3 linked regions of the Struthio camelus genome follow. The protein of the gene in region 1 interacts with the protein of each later gene in a biochemical or structural test. Links are inferred from orthologs where the notes say so. Each region holds a gene or a part of one and is shown on either strand. Other genes may lie near its edges. The genes, in order: MCM7, DBF4 and CDC7.

Region 1 (7,810 bases):
ACACCTCCCCGCCTCGGCTCTCGGGCACCTCGCGCTCCTTGTACTGGGGCAGCAGCTCGTGCACGGCGTCGGCGAAGAGGCGGCTGTAGCGCTTGGCGTTCTCGCACACGGCGTCCGCCAGCTCGGGGTCGTCCTCGGCCACGTCGTCCAGGGCCACGTAGAGGGCCACCTGGTCCCGGTGCGCCAGCGCGGCCTGCGGGGGACAGGGTGGGAGGGGTTGGGGGAGCGAGGAAGGACCCCCGGCTGGCACGGGGGCATCACCCGCAGCTCCAGCGGGTGACAGGAGAGAGCCTGATTCAGCCTGGGAGGGGGACAAGGACCCCCCATCCAGCCCAGAGGTGGCACCCGTGGCTCTTCTAGGGGGACGAGGGACCCCCGATCTCACACGTGGGTCCTCCCAGTGACACTACCAGCGCAATGGGGACAAGGACAGACCCCCATCCAGCCCAGAGGTGGCACCCGTGGCTCTTCTAGGGGGACGAGGGACCCCCAATCTCACACGTGGGTCTCCCAGTGACACTACCAGCGCAATGGGGACAAGGACAGACCCCCATCCAGCCCAGAGGTGGCACCCGTGGCTCTTCTAGGGGGACGAGGGACCCCCGATCTCACACATGGGTCCCCCCAGTGACACTACCAGTGCAATGGGGACAAGGACAGACCCCCATCCAGCCCAGAGGTGGCACCCGTGGCTCTTCTAGGGGGATGAGGGACCCCCAATCTCACACGTGGGTCTCCCAGTGACACTACCAGCGCAATGGGGACAAGGACGGACCCCCATCCAGCCCAGAGGTGGCACCCATGGCTCTTCTAGGGGGACAAGGGACCCCCAATCTCACACGTGGGTCTCCCAGTGACGCTACCAGCGCAATGGGGACAAGGACGGACCCCCATCCAGCCCAGAGGTGGCACCCGTGGCTCTTCTAGGGGGACAAGGGACCCCCGATCTCACACGTTGGTCCCCCCAGTGACACTACCAGCACAATGGGGACAAGGACAGACCCCCATCCAGCCCAGTGGTGGCACCCGTGGCTCTTCTAGGGGGACGAGGGACCCCCGATCTCACACATGGGTCCTCCCAGTGACACTACCAGCGCAATGGGGACAAGGACAGACCCCCATCCAGCCCAGAGGTGGCACCCATGGCTCTTCTAGGGGGACAAGGGACCCCGATCTCACACGTGGGTCTCCCAGTGACACTACCAGCGCAATGGGGACAAGGACGGACCCCCATCCAGCCCAGAGGTGGCACCCGTGGCTCTTCTAGGGGGACAAGGGACCCCCGATCTCACACGTTGGTCCCCCCAGTGACACTACCAGCACAATGGGGACAAGGACAGACCCCCATCCAGCCCAGAGGTGGCACCCATGGCTCTTCTAGGGGGACAAGGGACCCCGATCTCACACGTGGGTCTCCCAGTGACACTACCAGCGCAATGGGGACAAGGACAGACCCCCATCCAGCCCAGAGGTGGCACCCATGGCTCTTCTAGGGGGACGAGGGACCCCGATCTCACACGTGGGTCTCCCAGTGACACTACCAGCGCAATGGGGACAAGGACGGACCCCCATCCAGCCCAGAGGTGGCACCCGTGGCTCTTCTAGGGGGACAAGGGACCCCCAATCTCACACATGGGTCCCCCCAGTGACACTACCAGCGCAATGGGGACAAGGACAGACCCCCATCCAGCCCAGAGGTGGCACCCATGGCTCTTCTAGGGGGACAAGGGACCCCCAATCTCACACGTGGGTCTCCCAGTGACACTACCAGCGCAATGGGGACAAGGACGGACCCCCATCCAGCCCAGAGGTGGCACCCATGGCTCTTCTAGGGGGACGAGGGACCCCCGATCTCACACGTGGGTCCCCCCAGTGACACTACCAGCACAATGGGGACAAGGACAGACCCCCATCCAGCCCAGTGGTGGCACCCGTGGCTCTTCTAGGGGGACAAGGGACCCCCGATCTCACACGTGGGTCTCCCAGTGACACTACCAGCACAATGGGGACAAGGACAGACCCCCATGCAGCCCAGAGGTGGCACCCGTGGCTCTTCTAGGGGGACGAGGGACCCCCAATCTCACACATGGGTCTCCCAGTGACGCTACCAGTGCAATGGGGACAAGGACAGACCCCCATCCAGCCCAGTGGTGGCACCCGTGGCTCTTCTAGGGGGACGAGGGACCCCCGATCTCACACATGGGTCCCCCCAGTGACGCTACCAGCGCAATGGGGACAAGGACAGACCCCCATCCAGCCCAATGGTGGCACCCATGGCTCTTCTAAGGGGACAAGGGACCCCAATCTGGCACGGCGCTGTCACCGGTGGCTCCGTGGGGGGACAGGGGCGGGAATAGCCCCCCCCCGAGGGTCCCCCCACCCCGGCCCGGTGCTGCCCCATCTCTCACCAGCTGGTCCCGGTACGGGAACTCCTTGCCCAAGTCGCCATCGCGGTAAAACTCCTGCAGGAAGCGCTTCACCTTATCTGCGGGAGGGAGGGGACATGTCAGGCCCGGTGTCCCGGTGTCCCCACGCCCCCCCTCCCCCGGGCCCGGTAAACAAAGCCACAGGTGGTCGCCCGACCCCGGAAGTGCCCCGCGCTGCCGGTCCCGGCTTCCGGGGGGGGGGGGTCTTCGTACCCTTCTCGGCGGTGTAATCGCGCGGTGCCATGGCGGGGAGGTCTACGGGGACCGGTGGGGGTCAGTGTGGTTCCGGTTCGGCGTCTCCGGTACGGGTGCCCGTAGGGGTGAGGCCCAATCAGTGAGGCTCCGGTTCTGTGCGTCGGTACGGGTCGCGGCAAGGGTCAGTGACGGGTGGCCGTAAGGGTCAAGCCCGGTCAGTCGCGTTCACGGTTCGGCGGCCCGGTACGGGACCTTGCAGGGGTCAACGCCGCTGAGCGCCGCCACTCCGGCTCCGGCCGCCGCAACCAAAAGTGGCGCGAAAAGGCGCCTCACGTGGCGCCCGCGGGCCAATCCGGGGCCGGCCTCGCCCCCTTCGCCCCGCCCCGCGCGGCCCCGCCCAATCGCGGGGCGAGGCGGCCCGGCGCGGGCTCCGCCTCCTTTGGGCCGCGTCACGTGACTCCCGCTTTCCCCCGCGCGGCCGGACGGGACCGAGGTTCGGGGAGACCCGCGGGGGGCCCTGGCCCCGCCCCCTCTTAAAGGGGCCGCGGTTGCGGGGGGGCGGGGCCGGGGGGTGCTGGGTGCTGGGGAGGGTGGATGGGGGGGTCTGGGGGTGCTGGGGCCTTGGAGGGGTGCTGGGGGGGTGGATGGGGGGCACTTGGGGGGTGCTGGGGCCTTGGGGGGGTGCTGGGGGCTGGATGGGGGGTCTGGGGGTGCTAGGGCCTTGGGGTGCTGGGTGCTGAGGGGGGATGGGGGGCTCTGGGGGTGCTGGAGCCTTGGAGGGGTGCTGGGTGCTGAGGGGGGATGGGGGGATCTGGGGGTGCTGAGGCCTTGGGGGGGTGCTGGGGGCTGAGGGGGGATGGGGGGCTCTGGGGGTGCTGGAGCCTTGGGGGGGTGCTGGGTGCTGAGGGGGGATGGGGGGATCTGGGGGTGCTGAGGCCTTGGGGGGGTGCTGGGGGCTGGGGGGGTGGATGGGGGCTCTGGGGGTGCTAGGGCCTTGGGGTGCTGGGTGCTGGGGGGGTGGATGGGGGGCACTTGGGGGGTGCTGGGGCCTTGGAGGGGATGGATGGGTGGTCTGGGGGTGCTGGGTCCTGATGGGGGAGCACTTGGGGGGTGCTGGGGCCTTGGGGGGGATGCTGGAGGATGGGGGGGGATGGGGGGGGTCAGAGGGTGCTGGGTCCTGATGGGGGAGCACTTGGGGGGTGCTGGGGGGGTGGATGGGGGGCTCTGGGGGTGCTGGAGCCTTGGGGGGGTGCTGGGTGTGGGGGGGGTGGATGGGGGTGTCTGGGGGTACTGGGTCTTGATGAAGGGGCACTTGATGGGTGCTGGGTCCTGGTGGGGTGGGGAGCAGGACCTGGAGGGCGCAGAGCTCTTTCGAAGGTGCAGAGCCCTGGTAGCACCCAAAGGTGGCCAGAGGGTGAGTGGGGGGGGTCTCGGGGTGAAGGAAGGGGGGGAGGGTCCCACTCGAGCCACCCCCTCCGCCTCCCGCCAGGCCAGCGATGCTCTCCCAGCTCTTCATCCTCTCCTCCAAGGGCGACCGCCTCATCCATAAGGACTGTATCCTGCTCCAGCGTGGGTGCTGGGTGGGTGGGATGGGGTGAGAGGTTGGGGAGGGGTCCCCCTTGCCCCCCCTGCTCCCCACCTTCTTCTGCTTCTCCTTAACCGCAGACCGGTCCGTGGCGAGGCCGGTGCCACCAGCCAGGACCTCGCCGACACCTTCTACAAGAAGATCACGGCTTTGCCGGGCGACCAAGCTCCCGTCTTCATGGTGAGGGTGGTGGTAGGGTGCTGAAACGGGGTGGTGGTGGGGGAGGGGTCCCAGCACCCTTCCCAGCTCCGTTTCGCCCCCCCCACCACCCACCCGCCACCTCCGCAGGTGCACGAGGGCCGGCACTTTGTCCACGTGCGGCACGCGGGGCTCTACGTGGTGGCCACCGCCGCGCCAGATGCGTCGCCCTTCACCTTGGTGGAGTTCCTCAATAGGTATGGGGAGGGGGGGTTTTCGGGGGGTGGGGGGGACACACCGGGGGACAGGAGGGGACGCGGCAGAGTGGGGGGAACCCGTTGACGGCCCGCCGGCGCAGGTTGGTGACGTTGCTGCGGGACTGCTGCGGGACCCTCAGCGAGAAGAACGTCGCCCTCAACTTCGCCCTCGTCTACGAGCTCCTGGACGAGATGCTGGTGGGTGGGCGCCTTGGGACACCCTACGGGGTGACGGGGACACCCCTAGGGCGTGGGGTTGTCCCTGGGGATGCCTTGGGAGGGACACAGGGGCCACCCCGGGGGGAGCTGGGGACATCTTGGGGTGGTGGTGACCCTGCTGGGGGCACTATGGGGACAGTTTGGGGACAGTTTGGGGGACTGGAGCCACCTCAGAGGGAGGTGGTGACACCCTGGGGTGGTGGTGACCCTGCTGGGGGGGCTATGGGGACAGTTTGGGGGACTGGGGCCACCTCAGAGGGAGGTGGGGACCCCCTGGGGTGGTGGTGGACCCCCTGAGGGGGCTATGGGGACAGTTTGGGGACAGTTTGGGAGACTGGGGCCACCTCAGAGGGAGATGGGGACACCCTGGGGTGGTGGTGACCCTGCTGGGGGTGCTATGAGGACACTATGGGGACAGTTTGGGGACAGTTTGGGAGACTGGGGCCACCTCAGAGGGAGGTGAGGACACCCTGGGGTGGTGGTGGTGGCCCTGCTGGGGACAGTTTGGGGGACTGAAGCCACCACAGAGGGAGGTGGGAACACCCTGGGGTAGTGGTGGCCCTGCTGAGGACAGCTTGGGGGGGGGGACCAGGGCCACCCTAGAGGGAGCTGGGGACATGATGGGGGAGGCCAAGCGACACTCTCCTGGGGCTGGGGACAGCTCTGGGGGTGATGGGGACACCTGAGTGTGGTGGGGACACCCCCATGGGGTGACGGGGACATTAGAGGGGGGTAGTGGGAACACCCTAGAGAGAGAGCTGGGGGGCCACCTTTGTGGGGGGGGCCACTCAGGAGCATCTTTAGGGTGCTGGGGACAACCCAAAGGGGCTGAGGACACCCCTGGGGGAGGGGGGGACACGGGGACATCCCTGTGTGTCCCCCCCCCCCCGCCAGGACTACGGTTACATCCAGACCACGGCGCCCGAGGTGCTGCGCAACTTCATGCACACGGAGCCCGTGGCCACCAAACCCTTCAGCCTCCTGGACCTGGGCTCCATCGGGCTGGTGAGCACCCAACCCCCCCCCCCAACCCCACCCATGGGTGCCCTCGCACCCACGTCCGGCGAACGCCCCCTTCCTCTTCCTCCTCCTCGTTGCAGTTCGGCGCCGAGACGCAGCAGAGCAAGGTGGCCCCCAGCTCGGCCGCCAGCCGCCCCGTGCTGCCACCTCGGGGGGAGCAGGTAGGACCCCCCCCCTGCCGCCCCACCCGATGGGTGTCCCCGTGTCCCCCCTCCCCCCGCCCCACGGGTGTCCCCGTGTCACCGCCGACTGTCTCTGCGGCCACAGGGCGCCAAGAACGAGGTTTTCGTGGACGTGGTGGAGAGGCTGACGGTGGTCATCGCGGCCAACGTGAGTGGGGACGGGGCCACCGCTCGGTCGTCCCCCCCCAGTGTCCCCTCCCTCCCACTCGTCCCCCCACCTCCGGGCACCTCGACCTGGGGGTGTCCCCTGTCTCCGAAGCACTTCGCGTCCCCCCTCATGTCTCCCCCCAGGCAGCTTGGCTTGGGGGTGTCCCCTGTCCCCAAAGTGCCCCGCGTCCCCCTCGTGTCCCCCCCCAGGCAGCTTGGCTTGGGGGTGTCCCCTGTCCCCAAAGCGCCCCGTGTCCCCCCTGTGTCCCCCCTCGAGGCACCTCAGCTCAGCCTGGGGGTGTCCCCTGTCCCCAAAGTGCCCCACGTACCCCGTGTCTCCCCCCGAGGCACCTTTGCTCGGCCTGGGGGTGTTCCCTGTCCCCAAAGCACCCCGTGTCCCCCCATGTCCCCCCTCCCAACACCTCAGCCTGGGGGGGGGGAATCCCATGTCCCCAAAACGCCCCGCGTCCCCCCCAACCCCGGCTCACCCCTCGTCCCCGCGTCCCCAGGGGACACCCACGAAGGTGGACGTCCAGGGGGAAATTCGCCTCAAGTGCTACGTGCCCAGCTGCTGCGGTGAGCGGGGGGGGGGGGGGGGGTCCCCAGCGGCATTGGGTGTACGGGGCTGGGTGTCCCCCCCCACCCCAAAACCCGCCACCACCGTGTCCGTCCCCCCGCCACCCCGGTGGGTGACACCGCCGCGTCCCCGCAGAGATGCGCATCGGGCTGACGGAGGAGTTCTGCGTGGGCAAGTCGGAGGTGCGAGGTGCGTCCCACCCCCCCCAACTCCCCCCCAAGGGGGAAAAAAAAACCCTAAACGTCCTTTTTTGCCCCCAAAATCGCCTCCCCCCCCCACCAAGGCTACGGCACGGCCGTCCGCGTGGATGAATGCGCCTTCCACGGCGCCGTCAAGCTGGACGAGTTCGAGAGCGGCCGGGTGCTCAAGGTGACCCCGAGCCAGGGTGAGGTGAGGATTCGGATGGGTGGGGGGCACCCTAGGGTGATGGGGGGGCACCCATCCTGACCCCCTTTCCCCCTCCCCACCCGGGGCAGCTCACGCTCATGCAGTACCAGCTGGCGGATGACATCCCGGCGCCTTTGCCCTTCCGCCTCTTCCCAACCGTGGACCGGGACGCTGCGGGCAGGTGAGGGTGGGGGGGGGGTTTGGGTGGGGGGGGGTTTGGGTGACCCCGGTGCTGACGTGGCCCCGCGTCCCCCGCAGGTTGCGGCTGTACCTGAAGCTCCGCTGCGACCTGCCACCCAAAAGGTTTGGGGGGAGGGGGGGCTTGGGGGGTGGCTGGTGGGTGTCCATGGGTGAGAGGGGGGAGTGTGGTGGGTGTCCATGGGTGTCTGTAGGGGTGGAGGTGTCCAAGGGGTGTCCATGGGTGGTGGTGGGGGGTCTAGTGGGTGTCCATGGGTGCCTGTAGGGGTGGGGGGTGTCCAGTGGGCATCCATGGGGCTGGGGGTGCCTGGTGGGTATCCGTGGGTGAGAGGGGGGTCTGGTGGGTGTCCATGGGAGTCTGTAGGGGTGGGGGTGTCCGGTGGGTGTCCATGGGTGGGGGGGGTCTAGTGGGTGTCCATGGGTGCCTGTAGGGGTGGGGGTGTCCAGTGGGCTTCCATGGGGTTGGGGGTGCCTGGTGG
Region 2 (7,194 bases), on another chromosome or scaffold:
ACCACAAGAACACCATTTTAGAGGAACAGAGCTGTCCTCCCTCTATCACTCATCTGAAACAAAAAGGATTTATGTAGTCCCATTAGAACAAAAGCAGACGAAAAAGTAACTAAAATTACAAAAAATGTAAGACTTAGATCCTCCTTTTTGTTATTTAATGTTTGAGTACCCACCTGAGATGCAGTAAGACTATGCTTAAGTCTGGGAACTTGAACATAATTCTAGTTATAACAGCTCTTTCTCTCCTGGTGAATTTTGCTCTAACATTAAGAAACCACATCTGGCAATGTAACTGTGCTTTGAACAGTTGAACTTTCCTAGAGCTAGATCAGACTAGGTTTTTAAGTAAGCAACACAAATTTCAGTATAGGTGAGAAGCAAGCCTCATTTCCCAAGGAAAATTCTGGGACTGTGGTAGATATGTCTGTGAGAACATCAGCTGAATAACGAGTAGCAATCAAAATAGTAAAAAAACCTAAAAAGGAATAAAAAATAGAAGTGCAGAATTTTATTACGCCACTGTATAAATTCATGGTTTGCTCACTCCTTAGATACAGCATACCCTTCTAAGCAAAAAAATTAAATAAATAAATAAAAGGGATCAAAAGGGTAACAAGGACGATCGAAGGTTTGAAAAAACTTCTGCATAAGAAATGACTTTGTAGATTAAGACTTGACAGTCTGCAAAATAAACCATTTACAGAAAATACAGTAAAAACGTATAAAATCAAGAAGAACACAGAGAGGGCGGCTAAACAGCCTGTTCCAGTACAAGGGATATGGGACACGAAACAAAACAAGGAGACAGGTACAAAACGGACAAGAGGAATTGGTTCTTTGTGCAGCAGGTCAGCTCTGCGCAGCATGTTGCTGCACAAAGACTGGTGTAGTTACTAAGACATGGTTTCAAGGGGGACTGGACAAGTACATGAAAGAAAAATACTTTGAGGGGTTCCAAATGCACAGACATGACATGCAATTCATGAAGTCGCTGTAGCTGACCACAGTTGGGCACTAAGATAATATTAGTGATTATACCTTCCCTGGTCTTATATACTTCCAGAGGAATCCACTTACAACCACTGATGGAAACGGGACCATCCAAGACTGACATAATGTCGGGTTTACGTTGTCTTTTCTTGCTCACTGACTGACACCCTACTACTAGTTGCTTTCTTCCGAAGCAGCTCAAAATAGACAACCACAGCTGCTGCAGGAAATGAGCAAGGCTCTTCTAGAGACAAAAAAAAAAAGGTTCCTCTGTTATGTATTCTCTCCCTACCTGAAACTATCTGAGCTGAAAAAGGGATGAGTACCACCACTGATACTGCAGGACTCTGTAAGTAACAGTTAGGAATAGACAAAAGTGAAGCAAGAATAGGTTTGGCAGAATCTGGAAGACCAAAAGAAGTAACTAGGAAAGCAGGAAAATGTGGACGGCTTGGGGTAACACAACTGATTTAGAAACTAAAGACGGATGAAATGTTGGGCAAAAGATAAGCAGATGTGCAAATGTGAAGTTCTGTAGGAGACCCAAGAACCAAATGTGGTCTTATACCCAACACGCATATATGATGGCCAGGGAAGCGCAGATTAATGCACTAAATACTAGAGTTAACCCTGGAAAATACATATCAAACTTCCTGAGGATAATCAAAAGCTTGCAGTTAGTTAGCAGTACTGCAATAACAGGATAGCAGTCTCTCATAAAGATAACTTCATGGTATTCATGTAGAGAAGGAACATTTTAATATCCATAGCCTAACATGGTGAGGAGACCTCCTACGTGTGTTGCTGATACCAGCAGACATCTGCCTGGGTGGAGCAGCCTGCAGGGCAGAGGCCTAGCGAATTTCAACATAGCTACTATTTGCTGCTTGTTTGCACTTCAAACAGCTCATAAAAAGGAGCAAGTAACCTAGCTTATCTACCCTTTCGGTTACATACTTTTACATTTAATCCCCAAAACTATGGAGAAGTTAAAAAAAGAAAAAAAAGTTAAGCGCTAACCTGCTAGATTGATCTCTATCCTTAGCGTTATTTCGGCTGCACACCACGAACAAAGACAGCTCAACGCGTGTCACCGCTAGCCCGACAGAGGCGGGAGGCCCGGAGCCAGCAGCAGCCCCGGGCTGCCGGGGCGGCTCACCAGGAGGCCGCGGAAGGAGGCCCCGGGCGGGCCGCCGCTGAAGGTGACCCCCCTGCCGGTGGGTAAGGTCCCACACAGCCCCCCCCCCCGCTCCCAGCCGGGCGCTCCGCGGCCGCGGGGCCACCCGCCACTTACGGGGACGCGCTCCTTTGCTGGCGGCCGCCGCAGCGCTCGGTTTCATCTTCCCGCGGAGTCACATCCTCTCTTCCGCCCGCTGCTGGACCTGCGGGGGCGCAGCGCGGCCGCTGAGCTCCGGCTCGCCCCAGAGCCGGCTCCCGGCCCTGGGCCCGGGCCCCTCCGCCGCCGTTGGGGCAGGCGCGGGTCGCCGCACCTCACTTCACCTCAGCTCAGCTCAGCTCACCGCGCTTTCCCGCCTCCGGCAGCCCGCCGCGCTGGGCCTCGCTTCTGCTCCCCGGGGAGCAGCGCCGCGGGCCGAGGCGAGGAAAGCAACTCTGCCGCCCGGCGGCGCCCCGCACCCCGCCGCGGGCTGAGCCTGAGCAACGGTCGTCCGCGGGCGCGCGCGCACGCACGCGGTAGGGCGGGGGGAGGGGCGGGGCGGGGGAGGCGATGCCGGGTGGCTGTGGGCAGGGCCCGGGAACCCAGCGAGGGGAAGGGAAAGGCGGGACGTGGTGCCTCGGTGGAGGAGGAAAGAGAGGAGTCGCGGCTGGGGGGGGGCGCGGTGGCCGGGCCTTGGGCGGAGGGAGGTCGCCGGCCGTTAGCGCGTGAGGCGGGGGGAAGGCCGCCGCCGCCTGCCTCACCTCACCTCGCCGCGCCGCACCTCAGGGGCCGGGGAGGCGCGGGCGAGGGTCGGTGGGCGCCATCACGAGGAGAAACCCCTGGGAGAAAGTGTCTGGGGTGTGCTTACAGCTGGCCCCGGCAGGGTGGAGGGGGGGGGCTTTGCCTGCGCGGTGGGAAGGCGGAAGCTGTGTGTTCGAGAGCGCTGGCGGGAGAAAGCCTGTAGGGGACTGGGGAGATGGGGAGAGGTAACTCCTTAACTCCTTGGCTCAGTGATGTTCTTCTGTAGGCGTTTACTGCTAACTTCAAACACCTCTTCGGAAAACCAGGGACTAAAAATTGCCCATGGGATGTGTGTGAATTTGAAACTGTACTTACTATGCAAGCTGTTGGTAGAAGTGCTGTGAGAGGCTGCTGTTTCCTGTTTTGTCAGGCTTTAAAAAACAAGTGAATCCCTCTATTTACAGGGCCAGAATTTAGTGACTCAGCTGTGTTTATGCAACTTCTTGGATTTTGCCCATACTTGTGTTGGCATTGTAATCCTCCTACCGAGTATCGGTGGGAGCAAGAAAGTTCAAATTCGTTTGCATACTGGTCGTTCAGCTAGAAAACACATACCCCAGTTGTTTCATTTTTAACCTTATCCCAGTCAACCTTTCCTATTTCTGCAAATGATAAAGTAATGATCACTTATATAAGTGGTAAAGTTTGAGGCCTTTTTCCCCGACTGAGAAGTGTTTAGTGTCCTTTTAGAACATAAAGTCATAATGGGAAAGGAAAAAGCACCAAATTCAAGGAAAGTCTTGTGCTCTCTTCATGTTCTGTTTAGAGTGTGCAGCTTCTCTGAGCTAGTTCACAGCTCAAAAGGCTGTGGAAAACAATGTTAGCGTCAGAGATTTAAGCTATTGTCTTACTAGTTTAGTGCAGTGACTCCCAAGGGACCTAGGGATCTCAAAAGGAAGCTACAGAAAACAAACTCTATTCTATTGATTTGTGTAAGAAAAACAAATCCTTATTTTTCTATGCCCTGATTGGAAATTTCTTTTCTTTTTAGGGATTGCTTTGTGAAAGCAAAAAAGGCACTAAAATCTCTTACTTCATTTCATACTGCCATAGAAACCTTTCAGGACCAAGTAACAGTTTGTGAATAGAAGTCTTTCATTTTCTTGGTCTTGAATGTCTTTTTGCTCCAGGGTACATTTCATATCATTCTAGTCTTCTTTTACAACACTTTTACAGATACAGTAATAATTATGATCTGTGTTTACATAATACAATTCATAATAATCGTAAAACACTTATGCTACCAGAAATCAAAGAAATTAAAGAATAGAGAAGGAACTCCTGAGAGCATTTGGTTTAAAATGTGACTGCAGATAAGAAGATAGTAACAAAATGTCAGCGTGCTATATTTGAAGACAGCTTTGTTGGTGCGTGATCCTGTTTACAGCTTCTTCTCACTAAGAAAGATCTGTTTCCACACCGCTGGTGAGACTCCAGCCTCAGCAATGGCTCAGAATGCCTGGGTTTTTACGTTTCATGGCATATGGGAGTTACAAATGATTTCTTTATGAATTTGACGATTATGCCTGTTTGACTAATATGATTTTTGTATATGAAAGTTGTATTCAACGCTGTTGGATCCTTTTGCTTTAAGTACTTGTGTGGTGGGTTCTGCATGCAAACAGCTTTCAGTGTTTTATTTAGCAATAAGTAAGTATTTAACCAATTTGTATTTTGTTCTTACAAGTGCAGATCATGTTTGACAGATAATGAGAAAAGAACATTGGGTGTATCTACAAAGATTCTGTCTTGAGCCCGTGATTAGGAACATGGAATCATTTACTCAACCAACAGCTGTGCGGATTAAATATGTATTTGTTTTTGTGGTGATGAGTAATTTATGGTCATGCAAATTTGTCAGGTGTTTCTTTTGAAATCTGAGAGTTAGTTTAGCTATTGGCCAAAGACATTACCACTGCTACCCATCTTACTTTTTGGTTTTTATGGTGTACCGCCTCAGCATGGCAGCAGTGTAGCCAATGAGGTGAGTCATAGGTGCTGTGTTCCTAGTTGAAAATGTGTCCCGATATCCCACTAAGGTGGCTTGGAATACAGCTGTCAGTCTTGGCTGTGTTTCTAAGCCTCTATGGAAACTGTAAGGCATTGGCTGTAACCCACAGTTCCTTCCCAGCTCTTCTCTAAGAGTAATCCCTATGGGGGTTCATGTTTTGTGGGAGTCCTCTGACATTTTTCTTTTGTATCTTTTTTTTTTTTTATCTGATTTGGAAAATCGTTGATCTGTGTTAACCTTAGCAGTTTGTATGTGGGGAAAGAGTAGTAACCTTAACAGTGCAGTAAAGAAGGATGAGAACAAGTTAAAGAGCAGAAAGGAGTCATACTCATTCTGTGTCTGCAAGGTGCTGTAGCAGGTTCCGGCTGGTATAGATGTTCCTTCTAAGGCTTTGGGCTTCATGTAGCATTTTGTAAGTGACTTCTTTGGCTATGTTGCTGCAGAAGTATTATGTCTGATTCAGTACAAAAGCTTGACCATCAGCTTATGAGACTTTCTCTCATTGCTGCCGGGACAGTTAGCAAAACATGCCATGCCAAGGTACTAAGGCCAAATGCAGCAATTCTCTTACTCAGTCAGATGGAAAAGCTGCCTTCTGTTCATGCAGGCATGTTGTGAACAGATGGGGGAACTAATCAAATTCAGTGCTTCCCACCCCACTCATCTCCTCGAAAGACTGTTTTATTTAAAGCCAGATCAGTTTCCTGGTACAGTTACAGCATAGTTTCACAAACTGTTGGGCAGATACTGTTAAAAAGGCAGTGTGCTGATACTTACAGGTATAAGCAGTTGGAGGAGCCAGTTAAGGATGCTCTAAATTTTTATTGTTGCTGAAGACTTTGTTTCTGGAGATCACAGCCTGGTTGCTTCTTATAAAAGAACTGTATATGCTATTTTTGAAAGTATTATAGAATAAATTAGAAAATCTATTACATTAAAAAGCCAAAAAATCCCAAAGAAAATTAATGGTTGTTAGACAAATCTGTTTTATGCAGTTTAGTCTCTTTATCTTTTAAGCTAAGTGAAAATAACAAAATATAATGTTCCTATAAATTGAACTAAAAAAGGAGACCTTTGCAAACAATAATAAAGTCATAACGACACTTATTACACATACATTTTTAAAGCTATGCCATTATTTAGGGATTTTATGTCCTGGAAAGAAAAAAAAGAAGAAACAATTTTCTAGCTGGTTATGGATACTGGGAATACATTATCTCCTTATTTTTTAGATACTATGAATACGTTTGCAAGGTACTGTAACCTTGCCTGCATAGCTGTACAGCAGGATTTGTTCAAGGAATGAATATTCAATGATAGCAATGCAGTATGCTAGTTAGTTGCTATTTCTTGCTGTATGAGGAGTTGAACAGGGAATACAGTCACTGCGACTAGGCTGTGAATTGGATCAGTCAGGGGTCCTCTCCTGATTTTCTCACAGGAATGACAAGAGGACAGCTAGATAAATTATTCTGCTATGCTACAGACAGTTTATGGGCCACAGGCTGCACATTTATCATTGTACTGCAAATTTGCATGCTCCTAAATGCTTTGCAGCAAGAGGTGATGCATATTAAATATTTAATGTCATTTACAAAAATGTAAACATTGTAATACATATAAGAATTATTTGGGAGATTTATTTTTATTTTGAAAATTTAGATTGTTAAAAAAGATGGAGCAAATATTGTAATTTAAAAAAAAGATTTTTTGCATGCAAGTAGAAAATTGGTATTTATTGCTACTTACATATAATGTATTAATGAAAATTAAAAATAACTTTTCCTTTGAATTTCTGTAAATTTTGAATATAGTTCTGCAATATATTTTTCTGTTCCTTAACAGGTTTTCCTTCTCTAAGGATAAAGTTATGGCTGAAAAGGATGATAGTGACTTAGATAAAACAACTAGTATTCAGCAAGCAGTAGCTTCTTGCTTTGGAGCTATAATTACATCATTTTTTGGTAAGGCAAACTATTAAGCTCACCATAGAGAGAATCTTTGCAAAGTTGATTACTCTTCAGCTTGCACCAGCAAGATATCTGCAAATACATACATACATACATGTAATATGTGTATATATATATATATAATATGTATATGTGTATATGTATATAGTTTTCTCATAATTTCATATATTTTAATAAATGCAGTGATTAATTGAAATCTTTCCAGTCTCTTTAACCCAATCTTTAACCATTTCTAAAAATAAGAATAGTTTTTATTAACCTTTCTT
Region 3 (6,939 bases), on another chromosome or scaffold:
GCATAATACATACACAGGGAGAATTGTGCTAGCTTAATTGACCTAGGAAGAGGTTAACAGACGTTTTCCAGAGTCAGCACTGATTCTTTTACATTTTTCAGTAGATATATATAAAAAAAAAAAATTCGATTCACCTGCAGATTCTGGCAGAGTGGATGCAATCACACAGCAACGTTTTGATCATTTCTTCTCAGACCTCCCAGAGGTTGGTTTTGGCAACTGCTTGTCTGCCTTAAGCAAAGTTCTTCGTGGGCCTGCCTTGTCATTTGGCTTCTCATCCTACAGATCCAACAAAAGAGATAAAGTCACAAGAGAAGACAGTGCAGCAGTTTGGCTTGCAGAGCATTAGACATGCCATTCTGTTTATCATATTTAGTTGATGTAATTTCTTCTTTCCCCTCTGATAAGCTCCTAACTTAGGTACATTGTAAGAATTGGAAGCTCAGTGCTGAATGAGAGCTTTCTCTGCCTCATCTGCAGAGAAGTAAAGGGATTTCTGCTTATTCAAGCTAAATGAAAAGAGGGCATTTCTCTTTTTTTTAGCAAAGGAAGAGAAGCTTTGCCTTTACCAATTCTACATTCTAAATAAAATAAAAACAAGCTAGAGAAGATGTAGTAGAAACAGAATACCTAATCTATCACTCCTGTGAAGATGTATATGAAGAAAGACATTGATGAAGAGGTGATTTTCGACAAGCTACTCATATGAGGAGAGTCATGGCTAACTTGACTGAACTTCCTCCTTAGACAGACAAGAAGCAAGAAGAGAAACACAAATGAAGGCCAGTGTCAAGACTGGCATTTCTGGAAGACTAAAAAAAGAGTAGGACAACAAAAAAAGACAATATTAGATTATATTACAAGTGCAGCTACACTAGTGAGAACAAATAAACGTAAATTTGACATGATGGAGAACAGAAATCACTGGAAAGACTGAATGAGGGATTGCGATAAATTTGGATCAATAGGAAAAAGAGGAAACAGAGAGGAACAAGTCATCAGTGTAGACAAATGACCGAGTCTAAATGATAAGGATTTTAGGTGTTAGAATAAAGAGAGTCTGAGATATTATAAGGAAAGAAATGACATCTGGACCAAGCTTAGATTAGAAGATAAAGTGAAAGGGATTTCTCACTCTGAATGAATACAGCCTGAGTGACAGGGAAAAAGGTAGCATTGACATCATTAACAAAGAAATGCTAATAACGGAAGCTCTATAAGAAGTGCAAGGATAAAAAAGGTGGTTCTACATTATCAGAACTCAAAGGCACAAAGGGAGGCCAGCGAGGTAGGCTGTAATTCTGAACTGGCCAGGAGGCAGCAGAGCTATACGTGCAACTCAAAAATAATCTCCAGATATCTCCAGATAATATCCAGATTTTTGAATAATTAATGCACTGCTTGTATGCAGTGTACAGTATGCAGAAATGATTGCTGGCAGGCTGTCCTAATAGGTAAATTTAGAATGACAGTGCCTGTCATTAGCACTAGGACAAGCCTGCTCTCATTTATGCTTATGCTATCCTTCTACCTGCTATAGGATTACATGGAGAAAAGAAAGAACAGAATTTGGCCTGCATTATTCTGTTATTATCCCTCACTTAATTCATGTTTGCTGTAATCTGCTCTTAAATACTCTCGCCCTTAAATAAAATTGTTGAGAGTTTACTTTACTTAGCTAAATCTCTAGCTGCTGCACTGGCTTATTAGAGCTCTTAACAGAATGTGCAAATTAGAATTGCTAAAAAAAACCCAAAGAACACCGCAGAAGCTGAGCAACATGTTTCAACACCTTCTTTCTAAACTGCACGATAGGATACTACACAGCGAGTAAAGAAGGTGGAATCTGTTTCCGATTTTACAGTTTCTGTTAATTTCATCTTATTATGAGACAATAGCCAAGTTAGAGTGTTGCCTTATGAACCTTGACCACTTTAGGCTTTCCTGTTATTTACAAAGGGGTGAAGTTACAGATCTCTACGTGAAGCACCCAGTAAACACAATATTACGTTTCATATTCTAGTGAGCAAGAGTCCTAGTGTATTCAAATGCAGGACAGCTAGTCTTTACCATTAAAGAGCAATTCTTTTTAATGTCAGAACAAAAAGAAATGGTGAAAAAAATGTTTTGATAAAAGACAAAAAGTGAAGTGCCAATTATTTTTTTAAACATGCAACTGCACTAGCTTCAATAAAATTCCACCACTTCAAAAAACAGCAAAATACAATTCAAATAAGATAGCCTCTTTACCTGGCACTGGTTATTGTTACTTGACAGTTTGGGGCCCAGATGTTCAGTAACGGATGAGGAATGGACAGTGAAACGTAGAAGAAATTGTTTTAAAACACCTCTGCGCTCTTAGGAGCGCACTGCTTAGGTGCAGGGGATGTAGTGCAGTGGTTCATTGAATACATCACTATCCTGCTTTAAGCTTTCCCCTGTGCAATGGGGCAAAGTTCTGTAATGCTCATGTTAAGTTTCAGTGCTTCAATAGTCCTGAAGAACTACTCATGAGTTTCTTAATTACTTCAGTATTATCATACATACACCCAGGGAGCTGAGGCCTTCTCAGTTTGTAACCTATGACCACTAAAGCTGCAGAGTTTTCTTGCAGAGGGCCTAGGAACTATAGCTTAGAAAAACAGGCCTATTGTGAGTAGGCCTAAATCTGCTCTACAAATACAGCTCCACGAGATAGTTTTCAGAGTGGCACAAGTCAAAAGAATTTGAAACCCACTAATCTCTGTCCTTTTCATAGGAGGTAAGGCATAAACGAATCTTTTTCTTTACTGTTGCACGTTTTTCTTATGCACTATCATCCCATGCTTGTTTGTGCCATGGCCAGTGGCTATAGCGCACTCCAGACTCTAGATGCTATATATTTTTAACTTTGCATTCTGTGCAACTCTTTTGCTATACAACTAATTAATAAAGCAAAACAGCAGGCCAAGTTATATTCTCCATTATTACTGGTGTAAATGAAGAGTTGTTTCACAGAGTCTCAAGTATTTATCTGGATTTATAGCAGAGCTAATGACAACAACACCTTATCTGGGCACCGTAATTATGTCATAATAATCACCTATAGGAAATAAATGTATAAAGGCTAAATATTGTTGTGCAGAGCATGAATACCCTGAGCAGTTCCAGACATGTGGAATCAGCAGATGCACAAAACAGCTCTGAGTTACCCGTTGTGCATTAAACGCACCCTCATATGTTTTCCTCTGTCTAGGCAGTTATCACAGAGCTTTTTGCCTCGCAGTTCACAGAAGTGCAAGAACCCTCCAGCGCGCTTTCCCAGCAGCATTTTCTCAAGCAGCACTTGAACTGTATCTGCGTGCTTGGCCCTTCAGCGGGCACGAGGAATTAGTACGTTGTTTAAACAAAGATCCCTCGTTCTCCACCACGTGCTTCTGAGCACATGTACCAAAAAGCCTGAGCGACAAACCTGAAGCCGCGGGCCAGGGCCGAGCGCCCCGCTTCCCGGCGCTCAGCCCGCCCGTCGCCGCCGGCCCCAGCAGGCCCTGGGGCCAGTAACCACTCCTGCGCTCACGCTTACTTCCTTGCTGCCGACCCCGCTGCCCCTTTCGGGCTGCCAGGGGAGGGCAGGGGCAGCCCGCTCGCAGGCCGCTGTCCCGGGTAACGCCCACCACCGCCGCCGCCTCAGCTCGGCTCCCGCAGCGCGAGGCCCGAGGCGCCGCGCGGGCTCGCCACAGCCGCCACAGCCGCCACGAGCCCGCGCGCACCGGCCGGCCGGCCGCCCCCTTGGGCGGGACGCTCCCCGCCGGCTGGCCAATAGCCTCCCGCTTTCCCTCGGCCGGCGGTCCCATTGGCCGAGGCCACGGTTTCCGCCGAGGGCCGGGATTGGTCGCGGAGGGGCATTCGGCAAAAGGCGGCAGCAGGCAAAAGCCCGTTTCGTCGCGGGAGCCCGCGCGGCGCGTGAGTCTGAGCCTGCCCCTCCCCCACCCCAGCACCGCCGGCGGGGCCCCTTCCCCGCCACCCCCCTCCCCCCCCACCCCATCCCGCGCTGCCGGCCGTTGGGCGCTGACTGAGGCGCCGGTACCGCTGCCCTGAGGGGCGAATCGGTCCGGTGCGGCCCGGGCCGGCGGGCTTCCCGGGGCGCCCCTCGCCCGGCCCCGCGCTGCGGGGCTCCAGCGTGCCCTGCGGGGAGCCCGGCGGCGGGGGGCGGGTGCCTTGGCGGGCTGGGCCCTGCCCGAGCGGCCGCTCCGCTCTTGTCCGGCGGGCTCCGCCGCCCGAGCGCCCAGGGCCCTCTCCGCACGGGCCTCCTGACGCGTTAAGAGCCTCCTTCAGGGCGCACCTCGCTGCGTCCGTGGGTCACTGCAGGAGCCGTTCACACATCGCGTACCTTCAACTTTGCCATTTAATTGGTAACTTCTGCTCACTTTTTAATATTTATGCTCTCAGACTGCTGCTTAAATGCAGCTGAAAGCGTGCATTTGACCAGGAGCCTTGCTACCAGGAGCAGTCTTGTAAAGCTAACCTGCTGTGACACATCCCAGATGTTTTTCTTTTGTCTAGCAGTAGTCGCATAAGGTAGCTCAAACTGAAAGCGTGGAAGTGTGATTTCTAAGTGCTTGTGCTGTAATGAAATGATTTATTGTAAATTTGTGGAAAATGCAAACTTACTGCATGACTTGATCCAGCCACAAAATTTGCCTTTCTTAAATAACAAAATAGATACACTAATACCATCCTTTGGTTTTGGCACCCCCTGCTTTTTCCTGCAGTACCAGTGGGTATGCTCCTGTTTGAAGAGCTTTGTGTTTTAGTGATAACAGATTGTGTTACAGGTAGTGACATCTGCTTTAGCCAGAGATTTGGCAGTAGTATCACTAATTTTTGTGTGTGAGGTTCTAATATCTGACTCAAAAGACTCTAAAACTCTGCAGGTTGTTTGAACCTGTCACTACCTGGTTGTTTCTCTTTTTTTATATTGGGAAAAACAGGTTTTTGTTTGTTTGTTTTTTGGAGATCTGTGATTTAACTGTAAAATAATTCTTTGAACTGAAACTTTGGATCATTCCTCTTCACTTTTCGTCTGTAACAGTGATTTTTTTGAGCATTTATTAATGTAAAAACTAAACATCTGACTGAATCAAACTTGGCTAAATGTTCTGTTAAGCCCTCTTCCAAATCAGCACGCTGTTGGGTTTTTTCTTAACATACTCAAATATTCTAGGTATTCTGTAAATAGTTATGCAAATATTAGCTTTTATGTTTAGCAAAAATGAATGTAAATGACACCTTGAGATACTGAGTCCCTTTTACCCTGCTCATGGGCAGGAAGTCCTGGAACATGTGTTCCCAGGGTGTTTTGCAGGCAGACAGGAGCTTTCATCTTCTGTATCCCAAACCAGCTGGGTGTAGCTAGCCTTGAACTGGAAGAGACTGTAGCTGAGGCTGGGATGGCACTGAATCAGAGCAAGTAAGCTGCAGTGAGAGGCGGAGTGCACTAATTTGCACTCCTTCCTCTGATGAGGAGGCCCTGCCATTTCAGGTGTGGAACAGGCTCATCCGCTTACTTGACGCTAGTGGAGGGAGCGTTTAACTGTGAAAGGCTGTAGACGGATCTCACTCCATCAGTTTCCAAGTCCTATTCTCCTTATCTATCCTTTACCGCTTCTCCAACGAAGCTTCAAAAAAAGGCTGCTGCTTGTCACTGTTCTGCTGCATGGGGATAACAAAGGAAAGGTAGCCAAAATTCTTTGGGGACAAAAGTATATTTCTAGCTTCATACCTGAAAACAGGTGAATCCTTTCTGCTGACAGTTTCCAAAATATGTTTCCTCCTTGTAGGAAAGTTCAGCCAGAAGTTTGGCAAAGTTACAAGCAAGAAAGATCTTTAAATATGTGCTAGGTGACTGTAATAGATGCAGATTCCAGGCTCATTTATCACTGTGGTTATTCTTCCCTAGTGCTCTATCTCTTTCCTCCTTTTTTTCATGATATAGAATTAGCGGCTTCTGAATTATACACTGTAAGTACACTACAGCTTGCTTATTCTTACAGCTTGCTTAATTTCCAAGATTGAGCAAGAGGCATATCAAAACAGCATGTGTGCATTTCTTGTTATGGTGAAAAGGAAACTAAGAATTATACTTCTTGTTGATCTCTAGAAGAAAGAGAAATCTCCCATCATATTGCAAAGATAATCATTTTCCTCTCTTATAATTTGTCTCAGGAGTGGGTTTTTTTTTTTTTTCCCGTTACTCTGTATGAGTGTTGCACTACGCAGATATTTGTGTGGATCAATTCCTTGCTTTCCAAAGCAAACTTTAAGGAAAGGATAATGCTTTAATGTGAATGAGTAAACACTAAAGATGAAAGAGAATCACTTGTCTAAGCTCATACTGCAGTCTTCCTTCCCTTCCCCCTTTCTTCCTCTTTCTTGGAGATAGAGTGGGTTTATTGGTTTAATTTTTCTCTTTTTCTGGGATGATGGGTAAGGCTTTGTTGTTTTAATTAGCACAGAGGAACTCCTCAAACTCCCTGAATCTCATTTCAGGAACTGTGTGAAGGAGAAGGAAGTCTATTACCAGATATGTTTGCTCCCCCAGGTGTCCAGATGTGGTCCTCAAAGTCTTGGATTTTTTTTACTTCAGGTTAGTTTTGTGATGGAGACAGTGTTGAAGTCTCATTGTGATGAACAGCACCCCCAAGAGGCTGAAGAATTGCAGAGGAAGCAGGAGCAGAACAAGCAGCTTTCAGGTATGTGCTAAAACAGGGACCACTAATATTACTTTTTGTTGCTGGCATGCTTTCTCACTTCAAGGACTGTCAGGAGCAATATACTGTTTGTATATGGTCCTATTGTATAAAGAATTTGTGAAATGAAAACTCTTGAGGTTGCTTTTGTTCTTAAGCTTTTTAAGCTTTAAGCAGTAGTTGTCACAATTTGCTGGCCCCATTATTTATT

Evidence for each region.
Region 2: of the proteins of MCM7 (region 1) and DBF4, one has a biochemical effect on the other in vitro, tested with the Homo sapiens proteins (2 studies listed by BioGRID). The link is inferred for Struthio camelus from reciprocal best matches to the Homo sapiens genes MCM7 and DBF4.
Region 3: of the proteins of MCM7 (region 1) and CDC7, one has a biochemical effect on the other in vitro, tested with the Homo sapiens proteins (2 studies listed by BioGRID). The link is inferred for Struthio camelus from reciprocal best matches to the Homo sapiens genes MCM7 and CDC7.

The regions. Positions count from the first base shown.
Region 1 is NC_090978.1:592,635-600,444, reverse strand, and holds the start of MCM7 (DNA replication licensing factor MCM7), read right to left. Parts: upstream 3,011-7,810; 5' UTR 2,671-3,010; coding exon 2,640-2,670; intron 2,486-2,639; coding exon 2,409-2,485; intron 194-2,408; coding exon 29-193; intron 1-28. Other genes in the region: AP4M1 (AP-4 complex subunit mu-1), read left to right, coding at 4,118-4,175, 4,292-4,386, 4,495-4,601, 4,703-4,799, 5,715-5,825, 5,921-6,001, 6,108-6,170, 6,679-6,745 and 4 more. UniProt on the Homo sapiens protein: Acts as a component of the MCM2-7 complex (MCM complex) which is the replicative helicase essential for 'once per cell cycle' DNA replication initiation and elongation in eukaryotic cells.
Region 2 is NC_090943.1:25,178,788-25,185,981, reverse strand, and holds the start of DBF4 (protein DBF4 homolog A), read right to left. Parts: upstream 3,079-7,194; 5' UTR 2,913-3,078; exon of another isoform or gene 2,908-2,912; intron 2,683-2,907; exon of another isoform or gene 2,491-2,682; intron 2,426-2,490; exon of another isoform or gene 2,373-2,425; 5' UTR 2,331-2,372; coding exon 2,285-2,330; intron 2,212-2,284; exon of another isoform or gene 1,886-2,211; intron 1-1,885. Other genes in the region: mitochondrial glutathione transporter SLC25A40, read left to right, coding at 5,333-5,370, 6,804-6,922. UniProt on the Homo sapiens protein: Regulatory subunit for CDC7 which activates its kinase activity thereby playing a central role in DNA replication and cell proliferation. Required for progression of S phase.
Region 3 is NC_090949.1:19,220,525-19,227,463, reverse strand, and holds the start of CDC7 (cell division cycle 7-related protein kinase), read left to right. Parts: upstream 1-3,852; 5' UTR 3,853-3,942; intron 3,943-4,196; exon of another isoform or gene 4,197-4,391; intron 4,392-6,625; 5' UTR 6,626-6,637; coding exon 6,638-6,731; intron 6,732-6,939. UniProt on the Homo sapiens protein: Kinase involved in initiation of DNA replication. Phosphorylates critical substrates that regulate the G1/S phase transition and initiation of DNA replication, such as MCM proteins and CLASPIN.